Oreochromis niloticus: one gene and its partners. The protein of the gene in region 4 interacts with the protein of the main gene of each other region in a pairwise test. Links are inferred from orthologs where the notes say so. Each region holds a gene or a part of one and is shown on either strand. Other genes may lie near its edges.

Evidence for each region.
Region 1: the proteins of pak5 (region 4) and psmf1 interact in binary tests that used the Homo sapiens proteins (3 or more experiments, as listed by UniProt). The two-hybrid records come from large-scale screens. The link is inferred for Oreochromis niloticus from reciprocal best matches to the Homo sapiens genes PAK5 and PSMF1.
Region 2: the proteins of pak5 (region 4) and ccng1 interact in binary tests that used the Homo sapiens proteins (3 or more experiments, as listed by UniProt). The two-hybrid records come from large-scale screens. The link is inferred for Oreochromis niloticus from reciprocal best matches to the Homo sapiens genes PAK5 and CCNG1.
Region 3: the proteins of pak5 (region 4) and atpaf2 interact in binary tests that used the Homo sapiens proteins (3 or more experiments, as listed by UniProt). The two-hybrid records come from large-scale screens. The link is inferred for Oreochromis niloticus from reciprocal best matches to the Homo sapiens genes PAK5 and ATPAF2.

The regions. Positions count from the first base shown.
Region 1 is NC_031970.2:5,252,338-5,260,128, reverse strand, and holds the start of psmf1 (proteasome inhibitor PI31 subunit), read left to right. Parts: upstream 1-4,779; 5' UTR 4,780-4,900; coding exon 4,901-5,029; intron 5,030-6,249; coding exon 6,250-6,402; intron 6,403-7,059; coding exon 7,060-7,142; intron 7,143-7,506; coding exon 7,507-7,704; intron 7,705-7,791. Other genes in the region: pigu (phosphatidylinositol glycan anchor biosynthesis class U protein), read right to left, coding at 530-589, 1,524-1,588, 3,003-3,132. UniProt on the Homo sapiens protein: Plays an important role in control of proteasome function. Inhibits the hydrolysis of protein and peptide substrates by the 20S proteasome. Also inhibits the activation of the proteasome by the proteasome regulatory proteins PA700 and PA28.
Region 2 is NC_031966.2:26,583,840-26,591,609, forward strand, and holds the start of ccng1 (cyclin-G1), read right to left. Parts: upstream 3,016-7,770; 5' UTR 2,792-3,015; intron 1,888-2,791; coding exon 1,624-1,887; intron 1,537-1,623; coding exon 1,283-1,536; intron 952-1,282; coding exon 873-951; intron 653-872; coding exon 542-652; intron 126-541; coding exon 1-125. Other genes in the region: septin-8-A, read right to left, coding at 4,254-4,308. UniProt on the Homo sapiens protein: May play a role in growth regulation. Is associated with G2/M phase arrest in response to DNA damage. May be an intermediate by which p53 mediates its role as an inhibitor of cellular proliferation.
Region 3 is NC_031973.2:20,994,646-21,002,134, forward strand, and holds the start of atpaf2 (ATP synthase mitochondrial F1 complex assembly factor 2), read right to left. Parts: upstream 3,010-7,489; 5' UTR 2,861-3,009; coding exon 2,787-2,860; exon of another isoform or gene 2,727-2,786; coding exon of another isoform or gene 2,671-2,726; coding exon 2,609-2,670; intron 2,517-2,608; coding exon 2,472-2,516; intron 2,343-2,471; coding exon 2,194-2,342; intron 1,924-2,193; coding exon 1,826-1,923; intron 1,072-1,825; coding exon 991-1,071; intron 1-990. Other genes in the region: glucose-induced degradation protein 4 homolog, read left to right, coding at 3,340-3,531, 3,921-3,980, 6,240-6,347, 6,442-6,543, 6,632-6,762. UniProt on the Homo sapiens protein: Plays a role in the assembly of the F1 component of the mitochondrial ATP synthase (ATPase).
Region 4 is NC_031980.2:4,445,305-4,452,250, forward strand, and holds the start of pak5 (serine/threonine-protein kinase PAK 5), read right to left. Parts: upstream 3,010-6,946; 5' UTR 2,658-3,009; coding exon 2,603-2,657; intron 1-2,602.

The DNA of each region.
Region 1 (7,791 bases), on a different chromosome or scaffold from region 4:
TCTATTCAGGGCTGAATCTGGTCTCTCATATGTTACTGGGAATCACATTAAACCTTTGCATTAACGATGAATCCTGGTTTATGAATTCCTGTATAATCCTGTGGGCATCGAACATGAGAGGACAAGCACGCTCCTGGTGTCTCTGCTGATGCCTTTGGACTTCAAAACTGTGGACTGAGACTGAAACCTGCCGTTCAGGTTCTGGGTTGTACTCGGAGAACCAGCTCTCATCAACATCTGCCTCAACAAGGTTTGTGGGAGGCTTTACAATCAATTTGATCACATTTCAGATTTTAACCACCTTCTTCTTTAGGGGTTGTCACAATCATCTGCCTCCATGTCACCAGATCCCTAACATCCTCCTTCACTACATCTATGAATCTTCTCTGTGGCCTGGCAGCTCTTGTCCAACACGCATATTCCCTATCCATCCTCTGCACAAGTCCGCTCCACCTGAGCCGTCCCTCTCCAGTAATGAGACTGCCTCCACTACAAAATGCTTCAAAATGATGTTTTTATTCAGACTCACCATAAATGTGATCTCTGCGTAGTCCACCAAAAAGTGAAACATGTAGATGATGAGAGGAGTCTGAAAGGATCAGAGCAGAAGGAGAATTCAACATGAACATCTAAACATCAACATGCCTCATTTGTGGATTTTCTGCTGACTCAGATCTCAGTTGTAGAAATACACCATCTATGAGGTCCAAGCATGTAATGGAAAAATCAAGAACCAGGAGCAACTGAAACATCCGAGCATGTCTAAATAATTAAATAAGACATTTATTGTCCGTTTTCCACCAACACGGCACCCGAGCAGAGCAACTTCAGTGCTTTCTGAGAAACAGCTAAAGGTCTTTTTGGTGGAAATGCATGAAACTAGTTTTAGACTGAGCACCGGCACCTTGTTGGTGAAATGTGACATTCGAGAGGTGGTTTACAGATGCTACTCATCCTCCGAGTCTACCAACGGGCAGCCTTCTTTTGCTGATTGACTCTTGTGTTCTTTATTTAATACATTTTGTGTTTGTTGAAGTTAATTTTCTATCTCTGTGAACAAAGTTTGATGCGTTGACTTTTGGGCACCCCGATCTCGCTCTGGATGTTTTAGAGTATCGTGCCCTCCCCTCTTAGAAATCTTCGGTCCAGCCATGGCCCGACTCTGAGGAAGCCCCTCCTCCCTCAGAAGATCTGACTCTGACACTTTCACTTTGTTCTGATGATGCAGTTCTCACTATTACAATGCTGCTCAGTAAGCAAAGTTTTCACCTGGGTGTTACCTGAATGCTGCTTCAATGGAAATCTGACGTTTTGTAGAAAGAAGTTAAAGTTCCCTTCCACTGTGATGGTTCACCACGAAATGAGCAGAATCTGGAATGTTTCGTCTTTGTTTTCCAGACCATCTCCTTCTAATTTTCTGATTATTTTCAGGTTCATGTAACAAATATAACCTTCAATGTTCACACACACTTTGTAATAGGTGTGTGTGTGTGTGTGTGTGTGAGTGAGAGAGAGGGATTCACCTCATGGAAAACATCTCCAGAATATGGTGAAACTCCCAAATCAAGCAGAGCCAAACCTTCAACAACTGCAGAGAAACAGCAACAGAGAAACAGTTTTATTAAGACTGCTTGATTACAATAAAAATCACAACCACAATTATTTTGGTGACTATGGAAAATGTTTATTTTTGCATTTATGGAACTTCAACTTGGTGAATTTGGTCTGACATTTCGAGAGTGAAGCTACATTTTAAACCATTTTCACTCTATTCCACTATCATTAGAAGCCAAAATCATAAATGATGTTAAAATCTCCAACTTTTATTATTTTTTACCAGCACTGGGCTGTTATCTTTGAATGCCTCCTCTTGAAAGTAGCAGTTCCACAGCTTCCAGTTACAACTGCCTAATGAAAAATGCATGAAATGTTTCTGTGTGAGTCTCACAGCATGTTGGTCATGTTTTCTGTTTTACAGAAAAAGCTCAGATTGTCTGCAAACCTGCACCTCTGGCTCCTGTCAGGTACTGTGTCATCATATGCTAAATGGAAACTTAAACACTGTCCACTAACATTTCACAAATTCATCTAAAACAAAACCTTTGTCTGTGGTAACTAATGGAAAGCTGATATAAATATGTCAAATAATAAAGTCAAATCAGCGAGTGCCTCCCACTGTGAACCAGTTGATTTTTTTTGTACATTAATTATTTTCAGATATTTACTGGCCATCGAAGCACATGGGGTGGGGGTATGTGCATTTTCTCCATCACTTTGAGCCCTCATAACTCAACGATTACAGAAGAGGTAGTCAGTTGCTAAGGGTCAATTAACCAATTATTCATGGGGGTGTATATATATATTTTAGCCTGTTTGTATACTTTTGTCCAAATTAGGGTGTCTGCACAGTGGTGCAACTGTTAGCGCTATCACCTCACAGCAAGAAGGTCATGAAGGCAGGGGCCATGTGCCTGTTAGTGGTGATTTTAAATTGGCTGTAGCTGTGAAAATGAATTTTTAAACACTTGCTGATGTAACATTATACACACGTCAGCCAGATGTTTTACAGGTGTAACGTCTACGTTACTATGCGCAAATGACCCCGTGGAAACTAATGTGGATCACAGGAGGATTTAAAGGGGTCCACAAATACTATAGACTGTGCAGATCTTTGTTCAGCCGCTGGCAGAGACTCTGGTCGTCATTACTACTAGTGGTCGATGGATGTTTGACAGAGAAACAACCACTGAGCTCCATTCATTGGAAATAACAAAGAAACACTTGTTTAAATCTTCCCCTACAGAAAGTAAAAAGTATCCGCTGTTAGCTTAATGTCAGTAAAACATCATCAAGCTTTCTGAATTTGAATCTCAGCTGCTGATTTTCGCAGCTGAACCGGTTTGACCGAGTTACCGGATAACAGCACCGATGAGAGGGAGGTGAGGGGACCCGGACGTGAACCGACCGCAGCGGCTCCAAACCGCCGCTGGACCCGCGCTTACCTCTCTTCCAGGCGGTTATCGGCGACACCACCTCCACCCTCTCTGCAATCAGCTCCGCCAAACTGGACCGGAACAGAGCGGCACGGATCGTAACGGCCACAATCAACAGCAGAGTCAAGGGAGCCGCCATCTTGACAAGGAAGCGCTGTCCGCCCTGCGAGGTGCACGACGGGAAATGAAGTCTCCAAATGTGTAGGAAGGAGAGAAGGAACCACAAGTCCAGATAAATAAATAAATAAATAAATAAATGTACTCTAAAGCAAATGCTGGAAATTAAAGAAAAATTTATATAGAAATATGAATATCAAAAAAATAGACATACAGATAATGGGTGCATGTGTTATCTTTTTACATGTTTGCTTGATGTCAGCTGAGGATTCATTTTACATGTGAAACACACTCTGACAGACAGGACAAACACACAAAGCGGAACAATTGTTGTCCTATACTTGTTTTCATCCGGAGACTATTTGTGTTGGATCAAAACAAAAAGCCGTACACAGTGAGCCACTACGCTTCCGCTAACCGTGCGGTTATTTCAAAAACAAAATTGACTCTGTTAAAAAACATAAATTTACTTTTTTCTGATCAGGTTAGGGTTCATTAAAATAGCTTCACACAAAGAATACAATAGCAAGCATAAAAATGCCATCTGAAAATTCATCAACTGACATTTTGGGGTCAAAGATCTCAAACTTAAATGAGCTGTGGGCCACTGCTGGCACTGTCATCTCATCCGAGGGCCACTTTAGTTTTCAAGTGGTACAAAAACTAACAAACAAGAAAACACCCACAAATATCTTAGAAAATGTAGTGTTAATTTGTTCGTTTGGTTTTTTTTATTTCAAATATTGTATAAAAAGGCAAAACTGCAAACGTGAATGTATTTTTTCCCTCACTCTTCATTAACTGAAGCCTTTCATTGAACTACCAAATAAACAAATTGGTACTCTCTTTCTGGCCAGACACATGGCAGCACTTCTGCCATAATTTTGTTCATATTTGACAAAATAAAAATGCAGACATCAGTGTACACATTGGTTTTTGACTGCTAGTGAAAATTGTTAAATAACTCTCTCACTAAACCAACAAAACCAATCCCTCAACATGTTTGTACTCTCTGTTCATGTTGCCTTCATATTAAATCATTTTTAAATATATAAATATATATAAATAAATACGTTCAAGGGCCAAATTGCATTATAATTCTTCATGTCAACATATGGGCCCAAAGTAGATGTGACGTGGGTCACAAGTGGCCCCCGGCCCGCGGGTTTGAGAAATCCTACTTTAGATTAACAGTTATACAGAGGTATAGGCTCTATTAAGATGTAATGAATTAAAGTAGGGAAGATTTCAACATTATTACAGTTAACCCAAACAAAATAAAAAATAAACCCAGGTACGAGAAAAATATTTTAGTTTGGTGCATTGGTGCACATGTTTTGTAAGGCTGAGAAACGCAACACTTCATGTCTACATGACATGAAGTGTTGAGTGTGTATTTTATTACTTCGGCTAAATTTCCCTCTTACAAATACCCCCACATTATAGTCAAACTAACCCAGAAACTAAGAAAAACTAAACTGAATAAGAAAACCTAATCTGAGAGCGAATCAAAATGAAACGTAATTGAAGCTAGAAATAATAAATGAAATAGAAATAAAGAGCAATGAAAAAAGTTAATACCTCACATAATATCACTGGATATTTTTATTTGCAGATAGGTACCGTTTGGTCAGCTCTCTGGTGCTTTTAAACTGAAAAGCCGCGAAGCGGAAATGGTTCCTGTTGCTTGGCACCGAACTGCAGCTTGACTCAGTGAAGCTGCTGGCCAGACTTTCGTTTTCATTTCTTTTGCCTGAAACTGTACCGATGTTGGCAGATTGAAGGAAAACATGGCTGGCTTGGAGGTGTTGTACACCTGTGTCGCAGGTAAGATAACCTGCCCGCAGGACGCCGTTGTGTGTTTTGTTCACTGGGAGCTGGTAAAGAACGGATACAGGTGCATCGGCTCAGGAGACGAGGTGAGTTCGCTTATTTTAGCTAAATCTTGTGTTAAATTATCCCACATAATGGAGAAGATAATATTTTCTTTTTTCATCATTCTTACGCCAAATTGAGAAATACAAATTAAATATTAGCAAAAAGATTCTCTATATGTGGTTTTCGATGTTTTTCGGACCGTAATGTCCAGTAAATGCTTAAAATGTCGGTTTTTGCAGTGGAGTTCTGTATGTAATATTCAACGTAGATTAGCTATAGCTTCATAAACAAGCATCACCTCCTGTGTGAAGCCGACGTTAACGCGAAGAATTTAAAAGTGTGAAAAATGCGTTTTCGGTTTCTTTAATCCAGCTGTCATGGCTGATATTCAGTTTGACGGCATCTGGTTTAAGAGCGACAATTTACCAAAACTGTCATGTCATCTTTAGCTGGCTAACCCACTGGGGGCAGTCATCCTGAAACACCACGGGAGTTTATGACACAGATTCGTGTTAGTGTGCAGCCTTGCTATCCTCCATCCTCTCCCCATGTTCATTTTACAGAAATCAACAGGTAATCAGTAGTATTTTTTTTTTTTTTTTAAATGAAGCATTTATAATGGGATTTAACGTGAAAAGGGAAGCGTTCGGCATCTCTCTGTGATTGTTTTATATAAAATCACTCTGGAATGACACCTGCCATTTAGTAAACAGGAAGAGTAAGTGACCCACTTATAAAATGAAACATTTTTCTTTATTTTGAACATGATGATTTGGTGAAAAGGTGTTTTTTTTTCTTTAGATATAAATAATGACAAATTGTTATGCACCTAAAAAATGAACTCACTCTACTGGATTTTTATGTGTATCATTATTGTTGTTATATTTACTTTTTCCACATTAGTTTTTTATTTTATTATGTGTAATTTTTACGTTATTGACCAATTTTGTTTTGTCACATTTTAATTATAGAGTTGATCTTGTTTATGTTAGCTAGTTTTTGTCTGTTTTACTGCAGCAACACAAGAATCTGCAGTTTATTTACAATTTTTTACAACAATCTTACCTTTGTGATGAGATTAGTATATGTCATATCTAATAATAGCACATATTTCTTGCTGTATATTTTAAGTATTGTTTTGTTATTTGCAGTGAACTGGCCAAATACTGATAACAAATATTGTGAAAAGAAAAAGCAGGTTTCTGCTGCTGCTTTTAGGTTTTTATCTGTCTTCACGGCGTCTGTGACCTTCTTCCTCCAGGCCCGCAGCAGTGATAAGAAGTCCGAGCTGCTGCCTGCTGACTGGAGTAACAACAAAGAGCTATACAGTCTGCGATACAAAGCCAACAACAGTGACACCCAAATGCTCCTCAAGGCAATCACTGTTGATTCCACCTTGATCTTCAATCTGATGGTAAGCACATAAACATTTGTAGGACTGGTCTCATTAGTTTTCTAGATAATGGCAATTTAAAATAGTGCCTTAAAAATGTTGGTAGTGTGTGGGGGTTTTCTCTCTATTAATGACAACAGAAACCTGAAACTTTGCATAACTCCCCTTAAGAAGAAGAATTTTTCCTCTGGATTATTTTTTCATTGGAGAACTGACATAGACTGTGCAGTTTATCCTGCATTTCAGTCCTGATGTAGGGATCCATGAAAAGCCTTAAAAGGGATCAAGTCTGATTTTCTAAATTTGAATCTTACTGTTCAGAGCAGACATCACTGCAGCCAGGGGTGAGGTCGCAAACACTTTACTTTTAAATTTGTATTTTTTTTTCGGTCCAGTCGAGTTTGTATCGATTAAAATGTTTAGATTAGTTTAGTGTTTAGTTCAGTGCTAGTTTTAGTTTTTGTCATTCATATACAGGTCGTATTACTGCACCGTAAGACTGGAGAAATGTAGATCTATGCAAAGATCTGACACACAGTTGTGTAAACTAAGAAAATATGATTTAGGTTGAGTTTACTATTTGCTGGTTTGTTGAGATATTATTCTACATGTTAATCTATCCTTTTAATGGATCGTGTGTGTGTGTGTGTGTGTGTGTGTGTGTGTGTGTGTGTGTAGAACTCCAGCACGCAGCAGGTGTCAGACTTAACGGTGAACATCAACGACCACGTGAACACTGACCAGCTACACACATTTGACAGGTTATTTTATTGAGCTGCTCTACTTTATTAAGCTTTTATTCTATTGACTTATGTTGTTATGATTATTTTAATTGTTGTGTTACTATTTTGGATCCTGTATAAATAATAATAAAATATGCCTTGTCCTCAGCCTGCCTTATACGGTTGTCTCAGATTGACCCCACCGACTTGTTGTTCAAATCTTTTATTTGTTGGAGAAAGCCTATTATAAAAAGGTTGTCTGAAAGGGAGTTTGGCCTTGAAGGGCAGTTTGTTTGATAACTAAAGATTATTTTGCATTGTGAATCATGCTGAGCTACTCTGGTAGTCAGAAAATAAAAATATAGAGCTGGAAAATAAATAAAGTCATCTCTCTTCTCTGCAGTGTGTTCAAAGATGCAGACAGTTTGTCGGAGAAGGTGAAGACTCAGCTGCTGCCCCCCCAGGACAGACCGACAGGACAGAGAGCAGAGAGGAAGAGTCGGCGGGATGAGGAAGAAGAGGAGCAGAGAAGAAGAGGAGAGGACAGTGACCCCCTCCGCATTCCCAGCAGGAATCCTCGCCAGGGGACACACCCTCACTGGTTGGTGATGATATAAACTGTGCATGCAAAACTTTACCACAAAACTCAGATTTATTCATAAACTTATCATTAAATATGTACATTTTA
Region 2 (7,770 bases), on a different chromosome or scaffold from region 4:
GCAGTTCTTCCCGAAATAGTCCAGCGAAGTCTCTGGACGCTTGGCCTGCAGCACTTAGTGGTGGCGTACTCAGCCAAGCATTTTCCAATTAGCTCCCGCATGCAAACCAGATCCCCGTCTTTGATCTGCAGGAAAGAAGGATGAGGCTTCACATCATCTCTGCTTAACACTTTAGCATTAAAATTCATTAAGCTACACTGCATGGATCATCACCACCTTAGACAAAAATACTAATAAGCAATAATGTTGAAAAGGAGCCATTTTGGTTTGAGTTGAGCAAAGGCTCATTTTGATACAGTTTTTCCTACTCTTTGACCTCTATGTTGATAAGAAGGACCTATTCTTAATAAGGCACACGGGTGTAGCCATGAGCACACAAGTCTCACTGGCCTGTTGTTCAAACCTTCTGCCTGCTAGGCGCAACCAATCAGAAGAATGTTGGCTTAAAGGGCTTGTGTCTCTGAGGCCCAGTTTAAAATAAGGATTAGTTTGAACTGCTCGTATATATTCTTTAAAGCAAAAGGCTCAGAGCTGGACTTACATTTAACTGCTGCTGCAGATTGCTCAAGGCCTCAGATATTTTGTCAAGGTGCTCTGGGTCATGTTCATCATGGGCCTCAAAACACAGGAGAGCCAGGGCAAGCAGAGATGGCTGCACAGAAATACAAACAGTCTCTTGTTAACAACAAAAAGTAGAAACTATGACAACATTTAAAAGTAAATCGGCGCAGATGACCTACATTATACCTGAAATACAACAACAAACGAGAAGTGTACAAGACGAAAGCAGTCTGATTTTCAATGAAAAGCGCAGAAAAGCATTGAAATAAGTCATTATTTTCAATGTGGAGAGAGTAGTTGTTTTGTCTTACCTTTATTTTGGAGAAGACAAATGAGCAGTGACAGGCTTTCAGCTGCGCCTCCAGTCTCTCAAGGCTCAGGATCTTCATGCTAAAGGGAAAAAATGCTTTTAGTGTCAAAGCAAACTGAATGTGAGGTACAGCTTACATAAATAGTGATAAAAAAGCCAACCAAAAGGATTTCTATTTTTTAAAAGGTAACGTTTGAAAAGGGGGACTTGCATATTTGTTTTCTAACACCCTGTCACATTTCTAAAAGTCTACACGATTTCAAACAGGACTGTGCCTGTTGGCTAAAAAATATATTTTTGGTTAGTGTTAGCTTTCAAACCAAATATGAGAAGACACATTTTAGTAGAGTAAATATAATCTCGTTGAGTCATAGCTCAGCCCTGCAGGTTGGTGTGACCGTCTGTCCTTACCTCTCAGCGTCGAGCTGCTCCAGGACGTGGCTGTGAAAGACGCGGAGAAAGCGAAGGGCCGTGGGGCCCTTCACCTTCCAGTAGAGCTTCTCCATGATGATCTTCTCCATCCTCATCATGTCAGACACCGTAAAGCGATTCTGACTGATGCGAATCAGGTCATTGGCCAGAGGCACGTTCTTCTCTTCTTCTGTGGACTTCACAGCGATGTAAAAGCAGCACAGGCCGACACAAGAAAGGTGCTTTGGCTGAATCTGTAGGAGACAGGGAAATGGATATTAGCGCATGGGACAACTGTTAAGATTTTAAGAAAGCAAGCAAAATGTACTGCATTTACAAACCTTCATGACAGACAGAAATCGGTCCAGCAAACTGACAGCCAGCGAGAAGCTCTCTGAACTGAAACCAAAGAACCTGGTCAGCGAGAGCAGGTCCTTCACCTCCAGCTCCCTGAGTCGGGAGGTCATCCTGAGGCCGTTGTCCTGGGCGCTTTCAATGAACCTCAAGCCGCTCAGCTTTGGTTGGTATCGGCCCTCCAGATCAATCAGGGCCTTCAGCTGGGCTGCAAAGGGCTGTGCCACAGGGCCTGTTACTGTGTCAATCATCTGCACAGACAGGAAAATAAAACTTAGTGATACAGTAAAAAACAAACAAACAAAAGATACACTGGGATTAACTGTGTGACCATAAAATGTGTATTAACTACTAACATAACTCTGATAAACATCTTAGTCTCTTTAATAAGGCAAGGCTCTGTCTGCCACGTAATTAAAATATTAGGCTGTTGTATTTTAAAGGACATCTGGTCCAAAACAAAAATGGTTAAACAAATACAGTGAGCGTAGTTTACTAACAAGAGAAGATCCTGCAACAAGCCTTCCGCTAACACATGCCCGTCACTGAACTGGACTAAACTGGACTGGACAGGAGCAATGACTGTATATAAACAGGAGGCGAAATGAGACGAATATAGAACAGGGATATACTTAAATAAAGTTTCTCCGTTTTTAGTTAAAGCGACATTTCTGCTACTAAAAGTGTGTAAAACACGAGCTCCACAGCTCTAGTGCTAGTTTGTGAGGCCGCAATACATGTAGCCGTATCACAGCAGCAGGCCTGTGTATGTCAGGGCAAGGACCGGCGTCATGTCGAGACATGTCCCTGCCATACACACCAATGGAGAGCTAACGCAAAGCATGGCATGGCACAGCAAACCAAATTGACACTACACAGTTTAAACAGTAAAGCTAAGAGTGAAACAACAACATAACTCTGTAAGTACTATGTAAGGTAAACTTCATACTTTATTAGAGAAACCAGAAAATGACAAACTACTCTTTGTTGACGACGTAAACTGTTTAGCAATCAAAGCTAACGCTAGCTAAAAATCCATTTCTAAAACTAGTAGCATTTTTTTTTTTGGCTGATAGCGACACATCATTTACTGTTTAGAGCCACGAACACCACTAGATAAAAAATATATCACATAAGGAAAATGGGTTTACTTACCTTAAACAGTTACGTTGCTTTTTATATTTTCAAAAAAAAGGAGCAAGTGAAAAAAAAAAATCCACGCGCTTTAAATAAGCGGGTGAATGGAGAAATAAAACACACAAAAATGTAAGTATGAACTTTCACTAAAGAAAGTTTTAAGCATAGGTTAGTTTCTGCCTATGCACACCCCCTACCCTTGGCGTAAGGCGACGGGGAAAAGGACAGTGAAGGCGTTAAAACAGGCATAAAACCAAGCCCATGACCAACCATGCCGATTTTCTATTGGTCCTCAACAAGTGACGTTAAGCGCTCTACATTTTAATTGGATATTTAACTAGCTAGTCACATACAAGGTCCACCTCATTCATGCATTAGGGCCAATCGCACGTCAGAAGGTGGGATACGACCCAAAATAGCGTCGTAATAAAGTTGCCTCCTTTGGTATATAAATTATATTCGATTACAATTTTTTAAATTCATTAATAAATAAATACAGGTATACAAATGATATCAACATTTACATAGTAATGTCTTTAGTGGGTAGTAAAATAGATTATATTTTTAAAAGGGTGTCGAAATCATAGAAAACTATATATAAAAAAAGACCCACACACGCACACAAATTTTATAGAACTTTCTTCTAAACTTCATGTTTTTAAGTGTTTCCATGGTCCAGATGTTAGTTTAAGGAACACACACACAAAAAAAATAACCATACTATGCTGAGGGCCACTGGCAAGTTTCTGGAACAATCTGGAAGGAACCTGCATTTTCCATCACTTCTTTGGTCTTTTCTGTCCAAAAATCAAAGTAAATATAGAGAGTACACTGTTCATTTTTGAATAAAGTAACTCTTTATTACATTAGGATTTAAAAATCTGCCAAGCAGGTCTACACAGACCCAGTATATAGATCTTATGACATAAAGAGATCTAATCCTGAATTTATATACAGTTTAAAGTATGAAATCTCTCTCTCTCTCTAATATTTATATATATATATATATGTATATTGCAAACACAACAAAGAGCTGACAAGTTAGTAGTACAGGTTACCATTTATAATTGGATATAAATAAAGAAAGCATATTTACTATAACTGATTTAAAGTGCTTCTAAATCATAATGATTCACAATCAGTACCTTTGACAGCAATAATCATGTCAGTTTATAGTATATATTTCACAGTGTAACTTGTCATTTATCAGAAACCACAAGCATAACATAACATACAAAAGTAGCACATTTAGTACAAAAAAAATTGGAAATTTTGGTATTGGAGATATTTTAATACTTGCAGTTTAGGAGCCATGCAGAGACCATGCTACAGAGCGCTGTTTAAAAAGAACATTGTTTAGTAGACATGGAAGACTTTGACTCACTTCAAGTGAAAGTTCAGCAAAACCTTTATTTTAACACTGTAAAAATAATAAACTTGAGTAGTTAGTCTGTGATCTTTAGACGTGGTAGAAAGTCTTCTAATTCAAATTCCTTCCTGAGGTTAGGGAGCACGCAGATGGGAGACTAAAGAAGCTATGAGAGGAAAGAAAAACCACATCATCATTTATCCAAACAAGCATCAGTCAGTAAAGGTCATGTGACAAATTCAACAACACTGCACATGTTGATTAAAAATAAATCATGTTGCTGGGTTTCCTGTTGCTGCCACTGATTGAGGTAAAAATAAAACAAGCAACACTGTTAAATAAATCAAAATCATCAGATGTGTTTTGGGTATGGCACGACACAACAGCTACAATATGAAATGCTTTGAGCCAACCAAAGGGCTCATGCAATGGAAGTCCCAAAGCACTGAGGCATTCCAATGGAAATGGGTTCAGGTGACACACAAACTGATGCTCTATTCTGTTTCCCATCATCTCTCTTTATTTAAATGTAAATGAAGGCAAAGAAATTGTGTTCATTTCCTGATTCACTGTCAGTAAATTTAATCATGTTCTTCATAATGCTGCACAGAACACTGCTTAGGCAATTGAAAGATATCACCTGAGAAAAACAACAATTAAAAAAGATCAGTATATTCATATACGTTACAAAGCATCTTGTGAATAAATGTATTAATATATACGTAGAAAGATTATTCAATATTCATTTTTTAATATAAAGTTCTGTTAGTGTCTCATTGAGAACCAGAGACTTAAAATTACAACTGAAGATGAACATACATTCTTGTCAAGAACATAAAATTACACAAGTTACATGTTATGAACACAGTCCATTGATTTATTATTATTATTGTGTTTAGCACAATCAGCATATGAAACTTAAATACACTGAACAAGGCTCCCTTTCTGATCCGTAAGATCGTTTTTCCCATGCTGATGGCACAAACATTCCTGGTTTCCGCTGATGTTTGATCCATAAATCAACTGGAAGGGGAAAAGAAATATGACAAAATATGGCAAAAGAAAAAAAGGATGAAGGATCTGAAATATGGCAGGAATCAAAAGTAAATAGTGAATGAATGGGAATGCAAGAGTGTTTGGGTTGAAACATGCTGGCAGCTCAACTCCCATTACTGACACTTTAACATTTAAATCACATTTACTAACAAATATCCCAGACAGACATTTAGCTGTGTGACCAGTATGAGGTTTAAACTGTCTCTGAGCTCAAGTCCAACAGGAAAACACTGACACCCCAGCTCTTTATACACCAACAATGGCAATACACACTCACCAGCCACATTATTAGGTACACCTGTTCAACTGCTCATTATTGCAAAATAACCCAAAATTGGACAATAGGATATGGAAAATGTTGCCTGGTGTGATGAATCTTGATTTGTGCTGCAACATTTGGATGGCAGAATCAGAATGAAGGCTGCTGGTGGTGTGGGGGATATTTTCTTGGCACAATTTATGACTCTTAGTATCTAGGCATTATTTAAACACCACAGCCTAACTGAATATTGTTGCTGACCATGACTATCTCTGTATGGCGAGAGTACCCATCTTCTGATGGCTCTTTTTAGCAGGATAACTGATTTCTTGAACATGACAATGAGTTCCCTGTACGCAATACAAAAGTACAAAACCTCAGTACAAAACCCCTGTACTATGGCCTCCATAGTCACCAGGTCTCAATCCAATAGAGCACAATGGGGATGTAGTGGAATGGGAAATCCACATTGTGGATGTATACAGTGGTCCCTCGTTTATCCCAGGAGTTACGTTCTAAAAATAACCTGCGATAGGTGAAATCCGCGAAGTAGCCAACTTTATTATTTACAATTATTATAGATGTTTTAAGGCTGTAAAACCCCTCACTACACACTTTATTCACTTCTCTGAGACAGGCATGAACATTTTCACACTTTTCTCTCTTGTTTAAACATTCTCAAAGTTCAAACCTTTGTAGAAAAATAAGTCCAGTATTATAGAATGAAACCAAAGATCAAACCCAGATTTCAGGTCCAGAACAGAATAGAGCAGCTGTGAGAGAATTTAACATTAATGAATCAATTCAATTCAATTTAATTCAGTTCAATCATACGGAAGTGGAGGAAGCAAGAAGAATGAGTTGAGTAAAGTTTGACTTATCTGACTGTTTTGTTTCGCTTAATGCGCCTTATAATCTGAAAAATGTAATGTCTACCGTCCTTTAGCATGTCCAGAAGTGCCACTTTTTGTGCGATGGTTAGCATCTTCCTCTGCCTTTTGGGTGCTATCGCAGGTGCCTTTGACGGTGCAAAACGTTTCATGGACATTGTTGTGTTTGTTGGGGAGAAAACTTGCAAACATATAGTACAGCACTTCAGAGTCACGCTGCTAGCGATCGAGGATTTATGTAAATTTGACAAGCTGAAAAAATTCTGTACTGTACAGGAGACACGGCACGGAAGAGATTGATTGACAATGATCTACAGCCAATCAGGACACAGAACACAATGCGCTGTAAAAAATTAAAATGAAAATTAAAAAAAGCATGCAAAATTGCACGAAAAAAAAAAAAAATCTGCAAAACAGCGAGGCCGTGAAAGGTGAACCGCGTTATAGCGAGGGACCACTGTAGCTGACAAATCTGCAGGAGCTGTGTGACACTAGTATGTCACCTCTGAGGAACATCTGAGGAATGTTTCTAACACCTTGTTGAATCTGTGCCATGACGAATTAAGATGGTTTTTTGAAGTAAAAAGGGAGGTCAAGCTGGTACTAGCAATGTGTACCTAATGAAGTGCTCAGTGAGTGTATTTAAAAAAACAACAACAAACAGACTTTTTGGTTAGACAGTGACTTTAAATACTCTCCACTTGCAATCTTACCTTAATGCTTCAGCTCACTCTTGTCTACAGTAAGATTTTTACAAACATTTCCTCATCTTTCATATGACATATTTAAAGGATTATTTTATAAATCCCTTTGTGTATATGCTTATTGTATGAAGCTGTTTTGAAATGCATAAAAATGCATTTATTGCTTTTTCAAAAACAGTGTTATAAGAATAGCAGGAAGAATTATTAAAACATTAAAATACCTGAAATCTCTTCATCCACCTCACATGTAATTATACTGGCTAAACGCCTCATAAAATTTTACTGTCTGGAATACTGAAGCCCTTACCATTAATAGTAAATGTTTCCAAGAAACTCTGCTCACTCAGTTCTTTTCGTTTTTCTATTTAACTGACTATTGAGACAGCTTTGGTGTGCTGTGTTTTACAAGGCTGATGCCAGGATCAAGCTGCATTTAAAGCGTACGCAACTCATCATGATTACAGCTCTTTGCGGGATGTATGAGTATCATCTGTGCTCTGCATGGCGTGAGCATCGGTGAGACCAGTCCAATGTAAACAGAATTGTCCTGCCCAAGATACAGTCTGGCAGGTCAGCCTGCAGAGACATAAGTATCAGGCTGTGTCATGCAAGCTGTGACCCTTCCTACAGTGTCTGGGCACACAGTGTCAGTCTGAATCTGTCCCCGTATCCTTTTCTGAGCCAACATGGCTGCCGGGAAGATAACACTATCTCGTTAA
Region 3 (7,489 bases), on a different chromosome or scaffold from region 4:
AAAAGTCATTCAGTTGATGCAGAATATCACAGCCAGAGTATTGACATGGACTAGAAGGAGAGAGCATATATTGACATCTCTTCATTTAAGATTAGTCTTAAAACTTTCCTTTTAAAGCTTATAGATCAGATGACACTGAACCCTCCCTTAGTTAAACTGCAATATGCCATGATGCACTGAGTGCTTCGTCACTTACTGTCTAAGGAGCTTGGAAAGAAAAAAGCGTTTGGACTTGTTTAAGTTGCTTGAAGACTCTCATCCGAGAAGCTTCTTCAGTTCTAGGGTTTTCAAGCAACTTAAACAAGTCCAGACGCTGTTTTCTTTCCAAGCTCCTTATAGACTACGATGACCTGGATGACTGAGAACCTTCACAGACATATTCTTCACTTACTGTGCGTTTATACATCACTCTACATTAATCATTAGTTATATAATCTCTGGCTCTTCTACATAGTGTCTTTTACCCCGTCTCCCTCCCCCAACCCCGGCAGATGGCTGCTCCACCCTGAGCCTGGTTCTGCTAGAGGTTTCCTTCCTGTTAAACTGAGTTTATCCTTCCCACTGTCGCCAGGAGCTTGGTCAAAGGGCGTGATTATTGGGGTTTCTTTCTAATATTGCAAGGTCTTTATCTTACAACATAAAGTGTCTTGTGGTAACTGCTGTTACGAATTGGGCTATATAAATACAATTGAACTGATCTGAATCAGATACATTATTATAAGGCTTATGTTATCCGTTATTGCACAAGATCACCTGTGTAACTTTCTGTTAATAATATTACATTAAATTTTCATATGCCTGTATTTCTGCACAAATCACTATTCAAATAAGGAGAACATACACAAGATTTTCTTTAACTATTCTGAATTAAGTACAGCAATGTGAACACCACAGATCAGGCCTTTTACACTTAATTATTGTTATCAGGAAAAGAAAGGATACCCTGAAAAGAACTGCAGCATGTACAACAAGAGCTAAAGCTGTTCTTACCTTTTTTCAATCCACTGCAGCACAGGGTCCCATTCATTCTTCTGCAGCTCGACTAAACCATGGGGCTCATCTACTCTGTAACTACACAAAACATAAATCCTACAATATTAAAGTCACAATAACTCCAATCAATTGGTGCCAACTAAGCAACATAAAAAACATCAACTCAGAAAATAACCAGCTAAGTTTGTCTACAGTGTGTCGATGTCTCTTTTATAGGTGTTAAAACACTGATTTATTAATAAAATGAATAAATGAGTGGCTTCTATGAGGAAAATGTTTTAAAATGTGATATATAACAGTGTAACACAAGTAGGTTTTATCAGCAGGAAGGGGAGTCAGATATCCATTTACTCTGCTACTGTAACAAAAATAAATTTGTTTTTAAGTCTAAAAGTAGAATTTTCCATATTTATCCTGTAACTCTGATGTTGGCTTAAGGAAAATAGCTGAATAACATCATCATTATGATCAGGAAAGCATACATATTTAAAGCTATAAAGAAAGAACAATTAACTGTAGTGCAATTCGAACTGTTCTTAAAGTGTCATAGCACTATGCAAAAGGACATTTTTTCCCAAGGTGAAAAAGGCGAGTATAAGTGTTACTGGATATTAATAACATAAAATAGTTTGTTTTATTTCATGTCTTATTTTGTATAAATTCAAATTTAAATAATTATCAGATGCGCACGTGGAACTGTGAATGCACATGGGTGTTTATAGGATATATAGACTATGTAGATGTATATACATTTATTTGCAGATGAGTTTATGTTTGAAGTTTCAGAAAATTAAACAAACCTAAAATAAATAGAAATAAACGAGTGCCATACCAGATGGTGTCAGTCTCCAGAAACTTGAGAGCAGCGGTGATCATTTGTTCTTTGCTGCGTTGGGTGGGATTGTCGAGAGCCGTGTTGCACAGGGTAGTCTGAGGGAAGAGTTTCCCAAAATTAATATTACTGTAAGTTTTGTATAAATATCATGGCAAAGTTAGTTCAAAGGTACACGTCCTGCAAGCTGTTGGAAGATCTGGGTAACATTCCTTTTATAAATATGATCTATCAAATCATAAAAATCCTCTCAAATTTTCCTTTTCTCTCAAGATTATTTTATGTAACATAGGCGCCACCGTAAAAACAAACACAAAAAACCCCAAAACATGTGACACTTTGCTATAACTCCATGTCAAATGCTTTACCAAGTGCATAGTGTAGAACTTGAGCGTGTCCCTTTGAGCATCCCACTCAGTTGCAACAGCGATGGCCAAGGCTTCATTTGGCACCGTGAACAGCTTCCCTCCTGGAGTTTTCAGCTTCCTTTGGTCGAGGTTTATCTCATATAAACCACCTATATAGAGATATTTTTCAAAAGATATCCACTAAATTAAGGAATGACACAAGCATAAAGATGGGGCAGGAAAACCTGCTACTACAATACTATACTTGACTGGATTACTAATGACCATACTACACATACCTTCACTTTGAGATATGCTGACATCTTGATAAAATCTCTTCCTCTCTGGTGAACAGAAAAACGCCACATCAGGGTGAAATGACACAAATGTTTTGCAGATGACCGGAGCTTTCGTTCACGGTGGTTATTGCTCTTACCTGCTGTGGCTGCGGAGTATCTCGCAACACATTCGTAGTGCTGATTTCTCAGACACACCTTACTGAGAGAAAAAGCATTCCCAACCTGACTCTGAAGTCTAACTATACACCTAAGCATAGCGGAAAGTATGTGAAGATGTGATGCTTTTAAGTAAGGCTGACTGAGAAGAAAACACACCTTCGAGATGTCTGTGTCTGAAACGTCCTCATTAAACAAGAGTTAGCAATGCACGCATATTTTCCTATTAGCATAAAGTCTTATTTTTACTGCATTTATCAGCTGCTCAGTTCTTAAGCATCTTTGTGTTCAAAAACACGCGTGTGACCTTCGGCGCTTGACAGCAGCGTAGAGGCTTCTAGTTTCTTCGGGAAATGTAGTTTAAAGAGCGCTTCTATACGTGCGCCACACACCCTTACACAACAGTTGAAAAACTACATCCAAATATTTCCACGAAACCTTCCGCACGGCGAACCAATGAGCTTCGAAGATGTTCGAAAGCCAGACTCAGTTGACCAATGAGAGCGGAGGATACTTCTGGCTACAACACCGCGTCGAAGTCCACTTCTTTGGGAGCTTGGTTGCTGGTAAACTGAACTGTAGCGGAATTAAGTGGAATTTTAATGTTGTTGGACCTCTTCGGCTCTCCGCCACCTCTTTGTAGACGCCGACAGAGTACCTCTCCTCGACGGCAATTGCCCGCGGTCGGTGCCCGGTCAGCGAAGCCGGAGCCATGCCTGTCCCCGCTGGATACCTCAGCGACTCCACCACCGCGGCCTTCACATCCTCGGCCTCACTTATCCCGCCGCCCCCGATAAACACGCAGCAGCCCGGTGTTGTCACTTCGCTCCTGTACAGCGGTTCCAAATTCAGGGGCCACCAGAAAAGCAAAGGAAACTCTTATGACGTGGAGGTTGTTTTGCAGGTGGGGCAGTGAAGCGACTATTTCGTTATTCAGTCGAGATGTCAGAGGCATTTGGTCATCTGTCAAACGGGCGGCATGATGATTGACAGCTGGTAAAATCAGCCCTGTCCTGTCCCGTAGCAGTGCCCACGACTGAATACAAACAAACATTTTAAATTTGTTGTCAATGTTTTAATGCATCTGAAGTAATTTATTACTAAAAATACAAATAAGGACATTCAGAATTGGTGTGAAGGCCTACACAAACATTTACCTCAGTAGAAAATTATTTGTATTTGAGGTTGCTGTTAGAAATTAAATATTTAGCATTGCCTTTGTAAAACCATAACATGATCTGAACTGATGTCAATGTGATGTAGTTTATTGTATGTCTTGCTTTCTTTTTAAAGCATGTGACCATGGAGGATTCCTACTTATGTGGCTACCTGAAGATAAAAGGACTAACAGAGGTGAGAGAGGTGATTCCCTTCATTAAAGCATGAGCATAAATAATTTATACCATGTCTGGCCACAGCTGTCATGGAAATTGTTGTGACTATTTTTGTAGTAGCAAACATGTCTAACAGTGCCAAGAGAAAAAGGCATTAACATAAGACAACACGAAGACTATTGGGCTTTTCAACCAAAGTACCAATTGATGTAAAAAAAAATTCACTATGGAAAAAGTAAGTACAGTTGTTTAGCAAAAGGTTTATTTGCCCAGAGTAGAGAGGCTAGCTTCTTGAAGGCTTTATGCAGTGTTGTTCAAAAATCTCTTTAGGCAAATTCCTTCAAATGCAAGATTTTTTAAAGGTTTTCTTGCACATACTGTCCACTTTTTCCATTAAACATCTACTAATTCATTTGCTGGTCACTGTAAAATATCAATTTCTAGTTTAATTTCAACTATTGAACCTTTTCTTTGAGTGCTCTTTGAAATAGTTGAATCAGTAACTGCACTCTCCCCCTGAGGCAGAGCACATCAGTTATTGTGGCCGTGCAACTCCTTTTTGATTGGGCTGTCGAGAACACATTGTTCTAATATGTATGGTGTCTCATCAATAAAAAATGTTGTTGGATTAATAGTTAAAAGTAGTTTTGAGATTGCCACACAGGTCCTTAAAATCCTGTGGTTAACTTGTTAACGGCTTAACGTAATAACGCTTTAATACCTACAGAAATGAGCGGGTAGTCTGGATCGGCCACAGACAGAATCATGGCAATGGTAGAGAAGATATAAGACACCCAACATGTGTTATTCAGTAGGCTACATTTTGAGCTCACAAACACACCATTTGAGTTTGTGTTGAGGCTGCTTGGCACCAGGTGTCAAGAAAGGCAAAGTTTATCACGGGTTGAACTCACATGGCCACACATAACCAGAAGATAACGAAATGTCAAAACAAGACTTTAGTTACAAGTTAAATGATTTCCTGAAAACTTATTTTTAGTACCCTTGATAATTGAGGCCTCTGGTCTTAATCTAAATGTTTAGTGTCAAGCTGTAGCTTAGCAAAGGTGTTTTCCTTTCATGCCTTGTAGGACAAATCTTTGCAATTGCTTTCTGATTACAGACATTTGCACTTATTCAAGTTACCCTAATGAAAATTTGTGATTCTAGGAGATTTCTTTTTGCACTAAATTTGCTAGGCGCACACACAAAGAGAAATTTGCTTCAATTTAGGGTTCTTTTTAAACCAAGCACAACACAGGACAGCTGTAGCTCAGGAGGTAGAGCAGTTCATTTAATAATCAGTGGTTCGATCTACATGCCAAAGTATCCTTGGCCAAGATACTTAACCCCGCATTGCTCTCAGATGCATCCAGAGTGGGAATGTGTGTGAATGTTAGATAGTATGCAGGCATAGAAAGAAGTGCTTGTATGAATCCATCATGTTGTATAAAGCGCTTTGAATGCTCAAATAAAGTAGAAAAGTGCTATATAAGAACCAGTCCATTTACCATTTACCAAGACTCATTGGCATCCAGAACCGTATCTGTAAAGGTCTTAGAGACCTGGAACCAGTGTTAAGGAAGCTGTGATAATGTGACTGATGTCTGTGTATGTTTTCTTTTTTTAAATTTAGATATACAAAGCTTACTTCCAGCTCTAATTTATATCCTTTGCCTCTGCTAGAGTAGCTTTGGATGATTCTGAATAATCTTTATTGGGCTTTCATTTCATCCTCTGCTTCTTCCTTGAAGACCACGTTCACTTAAATTCAACTTTCTTCTGATTGGTGGATGTTATACTACTAATCATGCCTTAATAGCAACATTCAAAGATAGTGTAAATAAGATGTTATCAGCACACTGGCAAAATAACCATAACACTATGTTGTTAGGACGTGTGTTAAACTCTATTTCACAGAGTAAATTACAGCTAACGCAATACATGCTATAATTAGAGTCCTCGGTTATTACAGAAGTAATTACTGGGTAACAGCTCACGTCTTTGTGTTCCTGCTGTACAGAGCATCCAGAACATTCCCACTGTATGAATGCAGTGGTGAACTAGCTGTGACATTGTGTTGGCTTATTACACATACCTCTTATATGTCAGTCTCTAAATGATCACTTTCTGCTGTGTTTTAGAATAGAACTGTCTTTTATATAATTGAACATTAAATAGACAGATGTGTTTGTTTCATTTAATATTACTTTCTTTTTAATTGCAAACAGTAGAAGTGACCAGATGTGTCTTCAATTGCTTCTCGTTGTTGTTTTAGGAATATCCAACTCTGACCACTTTCTTTGCTGGAGAGATCATCAGTAGGAAACGGCCATTTCTCACTCGGAAATGGGATGCGGATGAGGATGTGGATCGTAAGCACTGGGTAAGGTGAAACCACTTTTATTTGTAAATTACAAAAATTAGTCTCCATCAGACTGATTTATTCTGTCCTATCCTGTAAACGTTTTTGTGTCCAGGGCAAGTTCCAGGCCTTCTACCAGTATGCAAAGACATTCAACTCTGATGATTTTGACTACGAGGATCTGAAGAACTCTGACTATATTTTCATGAGGTGGAAGGTATGATTACCGAAGAGTGAACTTAACTAAATTCTGCAGTAGGTTGGCTTTTATATTTCTGTTGGTCTTTCTCACCTGCCTGCCTTAGGAACAGTTTTTGGTCCCTGACCACACAATAAAGGACATCAGCGGCGCTTCCTTTGCAGGATTCTACTACATCTGCTTCCAGAAATCCACAGCAACAATTGAGGGCTACTACTACCACAGGAGCTCCGAATGGTAACGCAGCACACTAAAAGTTATTGTGATTCAAGGTTGACTTGTGTTAGGAGCTTTAACCAGTTGGCTCGCCTCTGAAAAGTTGCTTTAGACTGGCTGAAAATCTGGTTGGGAAAACTCATTCAGTCATCTTCTCTCAAGTTTTCTCGATTGTGGCTCCTCGGATAATTAGCAGATCAACGTGGCTTTTTCAGACAGCTCCAGTTTAAAATGTGTAATTTTATATACACAAAGCAGAACAGTCCAACCCGCAGTTTGGTCTGTTTAATTTATGTGGTTATGCTGCCTGGTTATAAGCAAACTTAGCCCCACTTTTACTCCATCTCTAGTGTTTTTGTGCATTCTGTGGCAGCAGTTTAACTGTTGCTGTTCAAAATAGTCTCCAAGCCATTTTTATCTAACCAAATTCACACCTAGAGTCAATTTACAGCCACCAATGAAACTAACATCCAAGTCTTTGGGGTGTCGTTGTTGGCACCATTGCCTTACAGTCTTTCTGTATGTTGTCCCTATGCAAAAATATTCATATTGCATCATATTATACAGAATGAAAGCCAATACCAATATATTTGCGACCAGCCAATATCAGATAGGTGATTGATATAGGTCTGGTTGTAATAATGCATTCGCAAAAGTGCAGCACTACTCTGTAGCCTGTACCTACATAAATGTGCCTTCTCACTCTTATGTCTGTATTTCTGACATAAGGCTAATGTGTCCACATGCT
Region 4 (6,946 bases):
ATTAGCATTACCCAGCTGTTACATACACTTTTAATTCCTATAGAAGTAGTATGTGTATGCTAGTTTTTCACAAGACTCTAATCCTGTGAAAAGTTTATTTTTCAAATGATTGTATGTAGCTCTTGGTCCTTGTTTGACAAGAAAATAGTGATTAAAAGGAACCAAAGTAATTTATAGACACTGAACCAAACAACAAGCTAAATAGCTAGCACTTTTAAAATCGGCTAGCAAGCTAGCTAGTTTGTTTTATCTGTCTGAGGGTAACTGAAAACCAATTTTTGTTTTAAATAGGTGTGTAGTGGTAAATCCAGCAGTGTTATCAATATGAACAAAATCTATTACAGTAAACAGCTTTAGCTAAACGAGAGGGATATTTTAATCAAGCTTTCTTTTCACAAAAGACAAAATGTCTTTTGTTTTCCTTCTTGCACTTGTGGGTAAGCAGCCCATAGTGAAGGTGGAAACCCATGACCTAGATGGTACTTCTCGGGAATAAGATTATTAAAGGCTAGCAGGACTTAAGTCGTCAAGGCCAAGCTCAGCAGTAAGGAGACACAACAACACATGCAGACAGACACACATAAACACAGCACTGAACGTGTGTTAGACAGCAGATGGAGACACATGTTCATGTACTCGCCCAGCCCAAACGTACTCCTGCAGCGCTTTTAGCAGCTTCTTTCTCACAACAGTCACAAAACAAGTTCAGACTGAGATGTACTTGAAGCGTAGAGCCCACTGGGAATTGCTGCCACGCAGAAGCCAGAGGAACTACTTACTGCACAACTTCTCCAGGCTGCCGTACGAGCACCTCTCGAGCTGTAATTTATGGGCGCATTGTAAAGCACTTTGAGAAGTTTCACACTAATGCCTGCAAGGTTAGCCCGCCAAAGAGTAACAATGTCACTCTGATGAAAAACTGCACCTGGTAATATATGGCAGAGATTAGAGATTTGCAGAACCGTCATTCCAGCTGTGCTGAACTGCAGTGAGCTGCGACTGCGTGTGTGGTGAACGGCCTCGATCCGATTTTTCACCGCACTGCACAGAAGGATAAGCAGTTTACTCAAACAGCTAATGAAGCTATAATAAAGCATCCTGCCTCTTTATTTCCACTGTAACTCAACACATGGGTATGGCTGAAAACGACCGGTAATAAGCAGAGTACTGTTTGTAATGCAAACACTGATTTCTTTTAGAAGCTACACAACTACTAAAAGCTAAGCAGACAGACACTACTGCATACAAAGAGATCGTTTAGGATGCTGAGGAAACAAGTGATCAAACTGTTTACCTTCATATCTGAGTGTGTTGTATTCATTTGTTCATAAAAAAAGGAAGCGTGAATATCTAAAAAAGAAAGCACACTGGTGTGCGACATGCCTGCATACCGTTTAATCTGTCAGAGCAATGACATTTGATGTTACGAGAAGCATTACATAACATTTAACATCCTCTACACGCAAAAAAGGAAGATGCTCAGCCATCCATAGGCTCATGCAAATGCATTCAAATGTATTAACAATTAGCCTTCAACGTCATTTAATGGGATTCACAGTAACCACACACACACGCTATATACACCAACACACTTAAATGGGCTACTGGTCCCAGGGCAGAGATCCTGACTCCCAGGCTGATTTGTCTCCAAACCATCTGTCACCATCTGAGCCTCCACAGGCATTTCCCCTTCTGTACAACAGCACCTCAACAGACACACACACTGCAGTGAACCGGGGAGTCTGCACGTGTGTGTGTGTCAGCATTCGTGTTGTCTGTGTCTTGTATACACGCTGTATCTATTTTTGGCGCACGCTTTAATGTTCTGTGGCAGCAGAGTCTATTCATCATGTTTTCCAAAGAGCACATTAATTTTCTGTCCTTTAGATTGTAATTTAGAAGCATAATTTGGTATCGAGACGCAGAGCATTCACTCATGCATTAAATATGCAAATACATTTCATACATAATTTAAAACGCAACATGAAAAAGGACATAAATGCCTTCTGATAAACAAGCTGAGGGAGGGCCAATGCTCTCTACTTTGTTTGTTCCTACAGAGAATAGGAGGCACTCCTAATTTAATTAAAAGGTCAACAGGTTCATAGTGAAAGCCTAAGCCCGGTTTGCCCTTTGTGTTCAAGAAATTACCCGTGTTTCTGTTTAGTTTTACTTGAAGTGGTGGCAAATGAGCAAAGTGAGAAGCAAATGTGTCCCTGCATCCTCACAGGTAGTCTTTGTTCCCCCTCCTTCCTCTTTTGTCCTGCCCTGCTCTGTTGTCTGCTGTTCACTTCTCTCTCATTTGCATTCACTTGTTCTCTCTTCACCCTGTTCCTTCAGATGATTTAATTGGCTCCAAAAACTGTTTACACAGACATGCATTTCACCTTCCGTTCCCGAAAGATGTATTTCGTCGAGCGGTAAACAACTCGGTCTGATGGAGAGGCTTTTAAAAAAGATTTTTATCATTTGCACACTGTTCACAACAGTTTGTAACATTCCTCTCTCAAATGAGGTTTAAAGATTTTGGGAGCAATGGGAAGCTCCAGCTCTGATTATAAATATACCTTTACACACAGACTGCGTGAATCAGAGGTCTTACCTGGCAACAAACTGACGGTCTCTTTCAGCCAATCAAAGCTCTCTGGGTAGGCCATAATGAGGCAGACAATTAAGTGCTCCTCAGATGTTTCGCTTTGATGTCAAATTACACTCCTGACAAATCCATTATGCGCCTCAATTTTCTTTGCACAAAAATCACTGAACAGCGAGTCCACCTCTCCAGTTGTAAGCTGATGATTCCCCCCGGTGGAGCGATGCTTATGAGAAGTCATCGAATTGACAAATCAGGTCACACTCGGGACCCTCTGCGTTCCCCGGCGAACTGTTACTAGTAATGCTACCCTGCCTGTATGCTCTGATAACTCCCAATGTGAGATGCACAGGACACGAAAAAGTGCCTACGCCAGCAGCCCGGGCCGAGGCACGGCCAGACAGCTTAAGCCTGGACCCATCCCATTTTACGTTTATTGTTTGTCTAACTGGGTCTGACCGGCCGCGTCCCAAACTGAGCTGCCTCTGACCTTCACTGTCCGCCTCCTACTTACTTGTCCATCAACAGAAGCACAAAAACAACAGAGCGTGAGTGTCCTCTGCGTCCCCACAATCCACAGGATGGTGTTTGTGTGCTGGTCGCTTTGGCCAACACACACACACACATAAAAACTGTCTTCGACCGATGCCAGCGTGTGTGGATATCAACGTTTGTGTCAAGAGCTGCATCACTAGGCGGCCTATCACTGCCTCTTTCACACGGCAAGTCACAGGGAGGAAGACAGAGAGTGTGACGGAGGAGATAAGATGGAAGAAAGAGAGAAAAAAAAACAGCTGGTCCAGTCAGAGACTGTGACAGTCTGGCCGTTTGCCGACAAGAAGGGGACATTGAGCGGTGGCAGCCGTGGACAGGCCTTGTGCTGAGGGCAAACAGTCCCACAGAAGCAGTGCCAGGCTGTCAGGATAACACTGTACAGCATTTTTCCCTTACAGAGAGAGAGAAAGAGGGGATGGGAAATTACACCTATGCAAGGCAGCAGGCCAAATACAAATAAAATATTGAACGCACTGTTGTTTTCAAATAATGCCAATATGAAAAAAAAGGTAGCCTGAGCAAAAGCCAAGGGATGAAAGAAATCTGCAAGTTTAGTATATCTAATGTATACTCGTGGACCGCAAGGCTGATGATACGGTACTTTTTAGGCTTGAACAGAGATTGCTGCTGGTTGTGCTGCACATGGATGTGGAGCACATCCTACTGCATTACTGAAAAACTGAATTGGAGGCACAAAGAATGCAATGAACTCCTGAAAGAACATTCATTTTTAGCAGGTACTCATTGCTATGTGTTTTAATGGTCAGGAAATGAGACACAAGAAATGTGTTTCTGCAGACAAATTTAACTGTAAGCATTTGTGTCATGTTACATCAAGAATTTAAGGTCCATTTCTTCCTGAAGACCTGAAACAAATATTACAGGATACATTTTTTCCCTCAAAAGAGTGAACTCTGACAATTTGGGGTTCTTTTTGGTTAATCACTTGGGAACAAAGGAAACAAACAAGTGTATGACATATCTGTGTTCTCATGATAAATGAGGACTGTTTTTACTTTGCCAGTCACTGCTGCAACCCAACCCATGTCAAAAGAGCTCAAAGTTTGAAGGCAAGCCATCCCATATTCCAGTTTGCGTTGCACATTTCACAGTTCACCTCTGCCTGGCAATAATTTTGCCAGTGTTTGCAGACAAGTTGGGGTGTTCCAGGTTGCTAGCTTGCAACCTGCTAGCAACCAAAGCACAAAGCACAAGGAGGTTTTTTGGTGCAGCGCCACAAATCTCTCTACAACCAATTTCACACACGTGAGTGCCAGAAACCTCCATCAACCACTCACCAACTTTTTGTGGAATCCACCAGATGGTTGCCAGATGGCCCCTTAATGGTCTCCAATCCCATGTAAATGGGGCGTAACTATAAATACTTGTCATTAAATAAATTTGGCTTATTTTGCAAAATATCAGCTTTTCATCTGATGATGATTGTGAATCATTATATCTGGATGTAATGATGTATGTAATTTTTCTAACTGATTTATCAGCCTTATAGATGTCAGTATGTCAGGCCGCTCATCATGCAGTTTTCTGTGGCATTCTCAAAGTGAAGTATGGTCCCACTCCCCTTAACAACCACAGACCAGTAAAATCAAATGCTAAATGTCAAGTACTGTTAGGGCAACAGTTTGAAATTATTTGCAGTCACTGGCTCTTAACATTCGAAGAACAAAACACTCAAAACTTAAATGGTCAATTTAAAGCAATGGTCTAATTTTCGGAGTTCATGCAATAAAAAACTATATCGTTTTTTTTTTTCCTTTGTTCAGAAGGGAAAATTTGTTGTTATGCAAAAAATAAATAAATAATTGTCTTTATCATGTGGTTTGTCACTATTAAAACACTGGTTAATTTAAGGAAAGACTGTGAATTTAATTCCACATCCTATATACGCAGTCGCACATGGAGATGGCAACATAAGCATTCTGGAGGCGGAAAGCTTCAGACTATATAAGTAAAAGAGACGGTTAAAATAATGGCATTTCACGCTGATTTGGCTAAATACCACACTCTTTAAGAGCATCAATACCCTCCACATGTCTAATGAGCGGGTACATCGTAGCTGTCACAATACAGATGCACGTGATGCTTGACGCAATCATAATCCCTGCAAATGACAGAAACATTTGCGAAAGGGAAATATCCAGGTCAGCTGCTTTCTTCAGGTCTCTCACCGATCTCTCACTATCGAGGGAAAGGATCAGCTAAAGTTGTTATCTCATCATGTGATAACATAATAGATGGATATAGCAAAGAAGGGTGACTCTGGGAGGTACCGAGAGATCAGGAGAGTTATCTAAATGAGATCTTTGCAGTCCTGAGGACAGAAGACTGCATATCACTGCCTGAGAAAGCGTGTGTGCAGATGTGTAACCATGTCTATATGTATATATGTGTATAGCTGTGTAAAAGGCTGACCCCAAACTAAATCTGTCTCTTCTTTTCAACGACTATTATGTGAATCGAAGATGAAATCTCACAAAAAAATAGAACCTTTTAATATTACTGCTTTATAAAGAACCAATCAATACAAATGTTCTTGTATAAACCAGCTGAACATGACCACCCAGGTTTGCATGCCATTTGAGAGAAAAGGATGTTGTTAACTGGGACTGACTGACTGATCTATGCATTTAGGACCACTTTTTCAGGTCTAGGTCTTCTGCTGCAAGCTCAGTAGATTAGTAGATCCTCTTCCCCCGCCCCAACCTCCAACTCCTCCTTAGGCGTTTCCAGGGAAGATCGGATACAGTATCCCTCCAGTGTGCACTAGAGCTGCTTTCAGTTAGCCCGAAATACCATCAGACAATGTGAAGGAGCCATACTTCCACCTTCAAATATCATTGCTCCTAAGTTTTAAACTGAACCCAGGCACCACTACAACTCATCCTTTTGATAATACATTTATTTAGTTTATGACCACAGGTTGATTATTAAGTCATAAAACTCATTTGGATGTTAGCCCTTCTCAATATGCACAATATAACTCTATCTGTTGATCTAACAATTCATCTTACTCCAGAGCAAGTATATAATTACATTTTTTATCCCTCTGCTGATATCGGTCATCGTGCAAACAATTAATCTTGTTTTACTGCACAGCAGCGTTGCACTTAACATGATTTTATTGCAGCCCACTGCTGATTTGTGATGGGCATCAGACATAGTGGTGTCTTCGAAAAGTGGGAAGCATGATTATGCATCACATCTGCTGCTGCTGCTTCAGCTGTTGACTGTTTTAATAAACAAGACAAATCTTCAGGCCAAACATGAATGTATTACGAGAGCTGGATTATGTCACCCCTACTCAGCCTTTAATGCCAATTTTATCCCGTCCCAGGGGTCAAGTGAGGTATTACAACCAAAAAAAAAGCTGCTTTAAACAAACCTATATTCAAAGGAATATAATAAATTACTTTAATACTGCATTGAAAAATATATTTAATTATTTTTTACAATTAATAAAGAGGTCTGTAAAGCTGTTGAGTTTTGATCTTTACATTATTATTTTTTTCCTCACCAAGAATCCAGTTCTTATTATTTATTATAGCACGTGAAGCCAAACTAAAACCATCCGACCATCATTTCAGTGAATCCTGGGCATTCATGTTTCAATGTTTCAAAAAAATGTTTTTCCTGATCTTACATTTTGACAGCCTCTACTTTAGGTAAACACAACACAGGTACAGTCAACTATCGGACAAAGATGCATCGTTTCCTTGCATCCAACTCCTTTGTCTGAGTCCAGGCTTCAAAAATATGCAGCTCTCCAACACATCTATT